Arabidopsis thaliana: one gene and its partner. The protein of the gene in region 2 interacts with the protein of the main gene of each other region in a pairwise test. Each region holds a gene or a part of one and is shown on either strand. Other genes may lie near its edges.

Evidence for each region. Proteins that work in one complex are often made in the same cells at the same time.
Region 1: the proteins of NAC069 (region 2) and POB1 interact in binary tests that used the Arabidopsis thaliana proteins (3 or more experiments, as listed by UniProt).

Annotation. Positions count from the first base shown.
Region 1 is NC_003074.8:22,793,605-22,798,832, reverse strand, and holds POB1 (POZ/BTB containin G-protein 1), read right to left. Parts: upstream 3,412-5,228; 5' UTR 3,130-3,411; coding exon 2,871-3,129; intron 2,779-2,870; coding exon 2,644-2,778; intron 2,549-2,643; coding exon 2,427-2,548; intron 2,330-2,426; coding exon 2,266-2,329; intron 2,087-2,265; coding exon 1,807-2,086; intron 1,706-1,806; coding exon 880-1,705; 3' UTR 780-879; coding exon of another isoform or gene 764-779; 3' UTR 509-763; downstream 1-508. Other genes in the region: HWS (Galactose oxidase/kelch repeat superfamily protein), read right to left, coding at 4,684-5,228.
Region 2 is NC_003075.7:673,317-678,175, forward strand, and holds NAC069 (NAC domain containing protein 69), read right to left. Parts: upstream 3,130-4,859; 5' UTR 2,910-3,129; coding exon 2,756-2,909; exon of another isoform or gene 2,676-2,755; coding exon 2,404-2,675; intron 1,898-2,403; coding exon 1,757-1,897; intron 1,683-1,756; coding exon 1,311-1,682; intron 1,231-1,310; coding exon 1,045-1,230; intron 958-1,044; coding exon 709-957; 3' UTR 546-708; downstream 1-545. Other genes in the region: MEE49 (Ribosomal RNA processing Brix domain protein), read right to left, coding at 3,950-3,988, 4,097-4,186, 4,262-4,331, 4,420-4,518, 4,600-4,679, 4,760-4,842. UniProt on the Arabidopsis thaliana protein: Transcription activator activated by proteolytic cleavage through regulated intramembrane proteolysis (RIP). Involved in salt stress response during seed germination and seedling growth.

The DNA.
Region 1 (5,228 bases), on a different chromosome or scaffold from region 2:
AAACATAATTTGGTGTTAGAGGAGAAGAATAACACCTTAATTAGTGGAACTAGATTCTTGGTGCACGAGGATTCTCTGATTATAAAATAAAATAAAAAAAACTATTGCACTTTCTTAATACTTAAATGCATAATCATTTATACATATTTAAGAGCTTAATTATTTTTCTTTATTTATTACAAAACTAGTTTACTTTCCTTAATCTAAGACATTAAAATAAATTTTAGAACAAAAAATAATCATTTGTAAAATTTGATCATTTCTGGTAAAAGAGTAACAAAAAAGTTACTTCACAATTCCATGTATGATTAATTGTTTATTACAGTACTTTGTCTCATGATTGTCTAATAAAGAAAACAAAGGACTGTGAACTGTATAGTATTATAATAAGATATCTGTGACATTGTACCACGTGTACGGTATATAATCAACGGTCAATATGATTTGAATTTTTTTGAAATTGATTGCAGGAATTTAAAATAGTCCAACTCCAACAACATACGCATGGCCCAAATCGAAAAGTCATGTCTATTTCAATCCAACTAGATAAATTAGTTAAATGAGACGAGAGAGTTACGTTCGTTCTTTTCTGTTCACAACTTCGTTCATAATACAAGAATCTCTACGCTAAGAATTTCATTGAAGAGTTAAACTTATAATCCAAAGCCAAAAGAGTAAGGGTAGATAGAAAAAAAGAACGCATTTACATTCTTCTTATAACGTTGTCGTCGAAACGTTTTTAACCTTACTTTTATAAGCTTTATTAGTCTTCTTCAAGCCTTATAAAAGAAAAGAAAAAAAAGGCAAGTTAGAGAGAGCGAGAGATTTAGCAGCAGGTAAAGGAAAGAGAGACAGTGACAATTGAGAAGTAAACGGTCACTAAGGATCTGTAGACCTTTTGATGGTAAGCTCTGCTCTGAGATGGAGAATGCCATTGATGAAGTATTGACTATCTTCCGCTATAAAAGACGTCCATGGGACCCCAAACAGGTTTCTGTAACCTACTGCTTTCCCTCCTGTGAATGTGTAGTTCCCTTTGTATTTGCTTATGAAATCCTCTGCGGGCTTTGACCTTGCCGAGAATTCATAGTCCACTCCGAAACTCACCGACCCTTTCTCCTGCATCCCTAGGAACAGCCCGAAACAGTGGAACGAGCTCTGTTGGTCCATGTTGCAGTGAGCTGACAGGAAAAACCCTTGACCTCCCAAGTGAAAGGCCTGCGAATACACTCTACCCGACGGGAACAGTCCCCCACATTCTTCTCTTTTCAAGTCTAGGTAGACTACACACTGCGGTCTAGGAAGCTCAAACTCGACCACTTTGACGGGTCTGTATTTGTAAGCCCTCTCTATCAGGCGGCGGTTCAGGGATGCAGATTCTTCGGAGGCTAGGCTACGTTGTCTGTGTGGGGCTTCTGCTTTGAAGAAAAGAGCTTCTAGAACAAGCTTTGATGCTATTTCATGCTCAAAGTCACTGCAAGTCAGCACTTTCTTCAGCTTTCGGCATGTCATGAATGGGAAGCGGATGGAGAGTGCAAGGCGTGACCCGAGAATCTCTCTTCGCTCTTCCAAACAAGGGTATTGCGCCCTTGCCCACTTCAAGATAAAATCATAAACTGCATCCTCTGATGCAATTTGGAGTTCATCGCTTGATAGAATTGCCTCAATTCCAGCCAAAGGTAGAGACATTACCTCCTCATGAAACCTGGAAAAGAAAGTTTAGACATGCCTTATAAGAATCGCCCCACCATCTCATGTGCTCTTGATTACAGTAATATCATGGATATGTAGTTTCAGGGGCTTTACTTGGTAATATCCTTGTAGCGGGCTGCAAGGAACTGTTTTGCAGCATCAGTTAAAGGCTGAACAGCTTTGGCCATTAGAACACTAGAGGGAAGCTCGAGATAGAGCAGGGCAGACTCTGGAGTCATAGGCATATTACGGAGAAGTCTACTGCAGTACCTCATACAAGAGGCAACTTCAAACTTATCAGCAGCCATCAACACATCTAATAAGGCAGGTGCTGTGGTGACAGATACCGCATTGCTATACATAAAGTTTAAAAGCTCCATCAAAGCAGCTTCCTCTGTAATACACACAAAGTAGAGTATAATATGTAAATCAATCTAAGAATCTCCAAGTTACCTTAACAAACTCAAATCAAAACCATATTTTGATTCTGTGGACCTAATAGAGAACGGTACAACTGTATCTAGTGTGATAAATCAATAACACGTTCAGATAGCTAATGTTGCAATGGCGTACCTGATGCATTAATCCTAAGGGTGACATGCCTTTGCTCAGATTCCCTCATTCCATTGGAGAACAACTATCAACATTTCCGAGAAAAAAAGAACACAAATGGATTAAAGAGTAAGGTACACATGAGAGCAAAAGCAAAATCCATCAACAACCTATTTAGATACCTTGTAAAAGAAAGGGCTTTTGGCAGCTAAAATAGGAGAACTAATATGAAGTTCTTTAACCCTAACAACTGTAGAACAATCCATTCCCCAGTTTGGCTCACTAGACGTTTCCTCTTCATCACCTAAACATTAAATAAATAAAACACTTCTCAGAACAAAACAAGCTCCTTTGTGTACAGCTAAAACTTCGCCAAAGGATGTTGCTCTATAGTAGTACCTGATAAAGCTTCTTCAACCATTGCCTCTCCTCCTTCATCATCAGGATTCTCACCACCAGGACATCCATCCATGTCAGGTTGTTCATCAGTTAAAATCTGCTCCTCAGGACATGCCACAATGTCTGAAATCGTGACTGCAAAATGAAATCACAACATTAAAACCCAAAAAGACTTGGACTTCGACTTCAATAACAAAAACCCTAAACCATACGAACAAATTACATACCACCAGATTCCTTCTTGATATCTTCTCTTCTTCTCTTGCGATGACGAGCCCAATCAGCGATACTCGTACACCCTTCAACTTCAGACCGAGAATCCGAAGGTCCACCCATGATCTCGATCCGAAGCAAACGATCAGAGAAGTTACTGTCGTTAAAAGCGAATCCAAAATCGCCGTCGGAGGAAGAACCATGACGAGTGAAGTCAGGATCCATTTGGGTTTTGGGATCGAACAGATCCGTATTCTCAGTAGTACCTCTCATCACCTTCCTTCAATTAATTTCCTAAGCCGGAGAAACTGATCGGAGAGCTTTTGATTTTGGAAAGAGAAAGCTGAACGTCTTTCTTTCAGGTGAGAGATAGACGAAAGGCTCAACGAGACCAAAGTGATGACTGATTGTCTGTCTTCTTATCTTTCTATGAACCGGTTTATGACTTGGTTCGGTTTGATTCGTATTGATGAACCACCAATATTCCTCCGGTTTTCTCTCGTGACATTTTTTACCTAGTAGCTTTGAGCTGCTGGTACAAAATTTTGAATTTCATCTAGGAGGCTAGGAGTCAGATTTGTACGTGTAAAAATTAGTTTGAATTTATTTGTTTTGTTCATAATTATTTTACGAAAAACCCGTGAAAAACAAATCTTTCAAAACTATTTTTAGAACGTTGAAATTCTGGGCTTTAATTCTTGAGAATAGAGGTGGGTTTTAAAGTATTCCATATTCGTTTGAGAGAACTAGTGGGCACTATATGTGTTGTGTGGTCAATTTTTTGGTTTTAAAGAGTTTTAACTTCCCCCATTGACAACTTAACTCGTTAATGCTTGTTACTATTTCATTTTGGAAAGCCAACGCTTAAATTAAAAAAGAAAAAACAATACTAATGATGTTAAAATCGTATTTGTCTTCTAATGGTTGAAAACTTTACTACCGAAATTTGAGAGACTAGTGTTCGAATCTGCTTACTATGATTCTGATCATGATTTATCATTATAAATGCTTTTAATAACAAAAATATGTGTTGCTAGTTTGGTATATTTAGTTAGGTTTTAGCTGATTTGATGTGTCAGAGTAATTGTCTAAATTTTCTTTTCCTTTTGACATTTTGGCATAATGACACAAATTAATTTTGTTTTTAGTATGTAGAATCTATATATCACTTCGTCAACTTTTATACGATTATAACTAATGAATGACATTTTGTTATATTTTAAAATTTAGTAAATTATTATAGCTATGAAAATTGAAAATAAGTGACCCTTGAGAAAATGATAAAATACACAATAAAATAGCTGTTGTCCATTACCCGTAAACCTAACACTGCCAAACCTGACAAATCCCATCACGAAAATAGGTCCCAATTTTATACAAGTACAGAAACATAATTCTTTAAAATAATTTACAACAATAATTAATTAATAAAACATGAAAAATCATTATGAATATATGTGGAAAAAAAAGGAACAAAATCATTATTTTTATCCACCAGGAACAGCAACAAGACAACCTCCAGTTTCAGAATCCGACCCATTTACATGAGATATTGTGGGCCACATGTTGAAAAATGTTCTTATATTTCACTGAGAGATAGAGAAGGGTTCGTTTGTTCAAATAAAAGTATCTGGGCCTCATTTTATAAATTTATAATTAACAGAGTACCAAATTGCAAATAACAATATTCCTGAAAAACATTTCCAGTAACTAAAATTTAAAAACATTACCGTATCATCATCTTCATAAAGCCGCCGGCGATTTCTCTGTGCAAAAACAATCCAAAAGACCAAGACTTTCACAGACCCATTTGCTTCTTCATTGCAACTAAGGAGCAATCTCGAGTCTTGGTTCGAAGCAAAACCCAGTAAAGAGCTGAAGAGGGAACTTTTTAGTAACAGGACATTTCTGAGACCATCTCCAATACTTGAGATTCATGTCGAACGTGAGAAGCGCGGGAGATCCATAGCTTTGAATGTAAACCAAATCATCCGTGCCACTACTCGCGAAAACCTCGTCGAATTCACCAAAACCTTGGAAGAATCTTTGAGGCATTTTCGCCATCTCTACCCATTCCTTCCCTTTCAAAACCCAAATCCCTATCCCTTTTATAACCTCTGGTCGATCATGTTTCCCGATTCCTCCGACAATCACAAGCCTCTCTCTTAGATTCATCAATCTCCCGCAGGTTAAAGAACACGGCATTGGAATGAAACTCCTCATCAAGATTCCGCTTGACGGTGATCCTATCGAGGATAGATTCGAAGCGATCAAGCCGTGGCGATGATCTGAGCCTCCCGTTGAGTATATCATGAAGTAAAGAACATTGTTGCAGATCACACTCTCGTTCCCTCCTCTCCATCCGGATAAGA
Region 2 (4,859 bases):
AAAATTTATTTTTATTGTGAATGAGAATGAAGACGTGGCAAATTATTGACGGTTCATTGTCGGAGCTTCGAACGAAAGTATGAACCTTTCTCTTTTCCTTGTTTTTTTTGTGTATTTTGAGTCGAAGGATCTTTCGGAAATTATAGCCGCCACCATCGACGACGACGACATGGCGTTATTACTTTCTCTACTTCAATATAGTACTACTACTAATTTTGTAAAATATATGTCTATGGATTTGGCTTGCAAGATAAGGGATTAAAGTTTACAAAAAACAAGAAAAAGGTTCATAGAATCATATTACATAGTTGTAAGTAATATGATTGATTGATTGATTGATCATCGAAGTAATATTTGATTGATTGATCATCGAAGTATCAATCACATTAGACCAGTCCCTTGTCCGGTATGTAATCATTCTCTTAATTATCAACAAACCAAATCTTTGAGAAACCTTTCAAACCATTCACTGGTCTCTGTCGAATGTTTTCTTTATCAGCAGTCTAATGCTCCACCACGGCACTGAACTATGGACCCGCTCTAAATGTTATAAAATTTTCAAACCCTAAATTTTATTTAACTTTAGGTACAAGACATACCTCTTGGTCATACATACACACACATATATACATCAAAATTTCGGAAGAAAATAGAAATAAATAAAAGCAAAGTAAAAACGAGTGCTTTGATCAATCTGCTAGCTTTTGTCTATCTCTCGCGATCAAACTTCATCGCCGGGTTCAAGTTTTGTAACACCGATATGATGTTGCTAATGAGAGCCAGCAAGAGAATGAAGCCTATGATCATTCTCATGAGATAGATATACCGTGGATTGTTGCGGTTTCTCTCCATTGCTTCCTCTGTAATAAACCAGCTCTTCTTCTCTGTCTTCACCATAGATGACTCCTTGTCTATGGATGTATCACTATCAACCGCTCTTGATGTATCTTGTTTCACCTGTGAAGGAAAGTTACATAATCATTATCTTTATATATCCAACATATGTTGAAATCATATAGAATCAACATAAGAGCAACGCAAAACCTCTTGTTTTGGTCGTATGATGCTTCGTGTGAGTTGAGATTGCCGGGTGCTACTACTGATGGAAGGTTCTCCATAGGTTTGTAGATCATTGCAAGACGATAGAATCTCATCTCCACCAGTCTGGAGAAATTGTCTATTCGAACTACCAACACTATCATCACCTGGACTTGATGTTCCTTGGTAACTCTGACATAATATAATCAAAATGTGAGAATGGAGATTACAGCACAGAAGTAACGATAAAGAAAACGGGTGATTTGCTTTACCGTTGCAGATATCGATTCAGCATCACTATTACTATCACTGCTATAATCAACAATAATCCCTGACAAAGCCTTCTTTGGCCTGTGATCGTTGCGGTTCTCGGTCATAGATAAGGTTGGTCTGGATATGAAATCTTCATTGGCAAACAAATATTCAACCTGCTCTCGGTTAACATGCCTCAATCCACCGAGAAACTCATCATCATTCGGGGTTAAGTGAGGAGCTTGTGGATGCACAGTAGGATTGTTATTGTCACTGAATAACATGTCTGGATCCAGTACATCCCACAAAGAGAAATCTTCTTGTTCATTCTTTGGAGTCCCCAAATCATCCACAGACATACCAAAGAAATTTTCTTGACCTGGCTTCTCAAACTGAAAATGTAAAAGAGAGTTTTGAGTAAACGAATCAAGTACATGAGATTATCAAATAAAGAAACTGGAGTCACCTCAAGCGCTGTGGGACTCGTAGCTCTGACAGTATTCGAATCAGAGACCAAAGATTGACTCGGCTCACTCGAGTTGTTACCACCAGATGGGACGTCTCCATCTTCACCCTTATACATCACTTGGCAGATAACATAGTTCCTCTGAACAAATTCCAAAAGTACACACACACATAAGTTCTTTGCCAACAAAACAAAAAATCAAACACACATAACTCAAACAATCACAAGCTTTGGCAGAAGTAAGAACACTAGGTTACAACTTCTATACATAGCGCTTAAAACTCTGTGACAACACAGAACGTACTAATGATAGCAACCAACACAGGGGAGATTACAGTAATATATTCAACACAGGGAAGCAAATACACTAGCCTTCTAGGCCACAACTTCTATATATAACACTTCAAACTCTGATACACAGAACCTAAACTTGATGTACTAAGCATCATAGGGAAAAGATAAGTCAAACCCAAATCTATTCTTACAAGAACATGACTTTAACCTCAAATTGGGATAAAGATAGCAACCAACACAGGGACAGATGAATCAAACCCAAATCCAATTCAAGAAGATCAACTAACAGAAACATAACGCTAAGTCAAACTAACACAGAAGCTCAAATTCAAGAAACTCTGAGTTTATTATACCTGATCTTGAGGCAAACAAGTGATGTGATACTCATGCATAACCCAAGGAGTCCAAACACCTTTAGGAACTCTACCTTCATAATACACAAGCGTCTTCTTTATCCCAATCTCGCCGCGATTACCTCTCTTATCTTTGATTTTCCTATCAACACCAGTAGCTTTCCAATACCCTGAACTTGTAGTCCTCTTCGTTACCTTCTTCTTCGCAGAAGTATACTCCTTTGGACAGAAGAAGTACCACACAGGATCATCCGATTTTATCTTCGATAAAGCTACAACAACCAAACAAATCCAGAATTAGAAATGACCGATGATGAGACAACGATGATGATTTTGAAGTGAGGAAACTTACAAGGCAAGTAAATTGGGTCGTAACTACAGATGTTGATCTCGCTAATGGCTTCGTCGACGAGCCAAGTCTTACCCAAAATTTTGTTCTTTAGATAATGGTTTATCAATTCCTCTCCCGTTGGATAAAATCTATACCCAACCAGATCTTTCACCATTTTTTTTACACAGAAACAGATCAAATAACAAAACTTTTTGAATCGACACTGAAAATTTTTTAGTGTTTGAGTTTTAAGGGCTTTTTCTCACTTCTCTGTTTCTTTCTTTTTTCCTCTATCTATTATTGTTTTTTCTGAAAGACGAACAGTACTAATACAGTTGGGGTGAAGAAGAACCATAAAAAAAGAAAGAAAGATATTTGTGGCGGAATGCAGTAAAAGTATATTAATGTTTTTCCCCTAAACGTTGACAAATGAGAGGGACAAAAAAATATTTTAATTGTGTATGAAGTAACACGTGGCAGTAAGAAAAATTGTTTGAACTTCGAACCGAAGTTTCAGTTTTTTTTTTTCCTTTCCGAAGGATCTTTCTGGAATATTATAGCCGACATAATTGACAACATAGTAACATACATATACGTAATTACGTTCTATACTACACCTAAATAATCGTAATTAATTTTTAGATTTGTTTTTGTCAATCCTATTACATTATCATTAGAGATGTTCAGGATTTGAATGCTTACGGCGGTAAAAACGGTCTATAATTGATCCGCGACGATTTTCTTTTATTTTTCTTAATCTATAATCTTACATACTCTAATTTATAAATGGTAAATCAAAAACGGTCTAATTCGCAAACGGATTTATCCGTCTCAACCACCGTAACCATTCACATCCTCAAATCTAATCCTATTATTATGGTGATGAACTGATGATCGTAAAACTATTAATTATGCAACATAAAGGTCCACTTAACTACTAAACAAAATCCAATATTACTGCTGTAGATTCAAATGCTCGATGTCGATATATACCAAACCAAACAATCATAAGTTTAACCAACTATATATAGCTTAGTAAAAAACGAGGGCCTATATTGTTGAAACAAGTACTCTTACGATTGTTTCGATGGCTCATGGCTATATTGAAAAAAGAAATGAGAAGTTTTAAAGACATACAATTTTGGACGGAGGTAGGGAAAATTCGAAAATGCAAAATAAACACAAAACTTGGTGAAACTCGGAAGACAGCAGAATTTATAAGAAGAACCTTCTCCTGCTCGTGTCCATTTCAGGCTGTAATGAAATACAAAAAAAAAACACATCAGAAAATAAAATTAAAAATCATCAAAAACTCTAAAGAACAGCAATGAAGCTGCTCGTGTCCATTTCTGGTGATTTTACCTTATGAACCCATTCAAATTCTCCACCTTTGGTGTCAAAAGTTCCATGCTGTAGAGTAACTAGCTTAAGCGTGAATCGAGGACCGCATTCCTAAAAATCCAAAGTTTAATGATACAAACATTGATAATGTTGATTACTTTTTGATTCAACATGGTCAAAACTGACCTGAAGACGAGGTTTTATTGTCTCTTCTTTTCCTTTATCACTCTTGCTTTCCTTTGTCTCAAATATGTAACTGGATAGTGTTGAAATTTGTTCAATAAAAAGTTTTATTGGAGAATGGAGCAAAAGCAACTCGAAGAAGAAAAGGTGAAGTTATGTACCGGTGATGTCTGAAAAATATAAAGTCACGCTGGTTGTGGAATGTTACAACTCTCCTACCACGGAAATTAGGATCCGGAGGGAAGAGTGATTGAAAAAATCTGAAAAAAGGAAAAATCTAACATCAGCAAGAAATTCAAAGAGACCATAAAACCAAGTCAACAACACTATGAAAACTATACCTCCCAACACGATTCCCTAAACGCGTTGTAAAGTTATTCAAAACCAGTTCTGGTTGATGGCTTGTAGGATTTCCGTGATTCTGCAGTTACATTTAACATCCAATTCAGTGATCACTAATCTACACTCGATGTAGAGAAGAGTAATGGTTAGCTTACATACCTTAATATCCTTCCTTAGAACAAGATTTGACAATTTGAAATGAGCAGTAGGACCATTTGGCAAACCGATGATAAGAAGCGCATCTACATATGAAATAGCA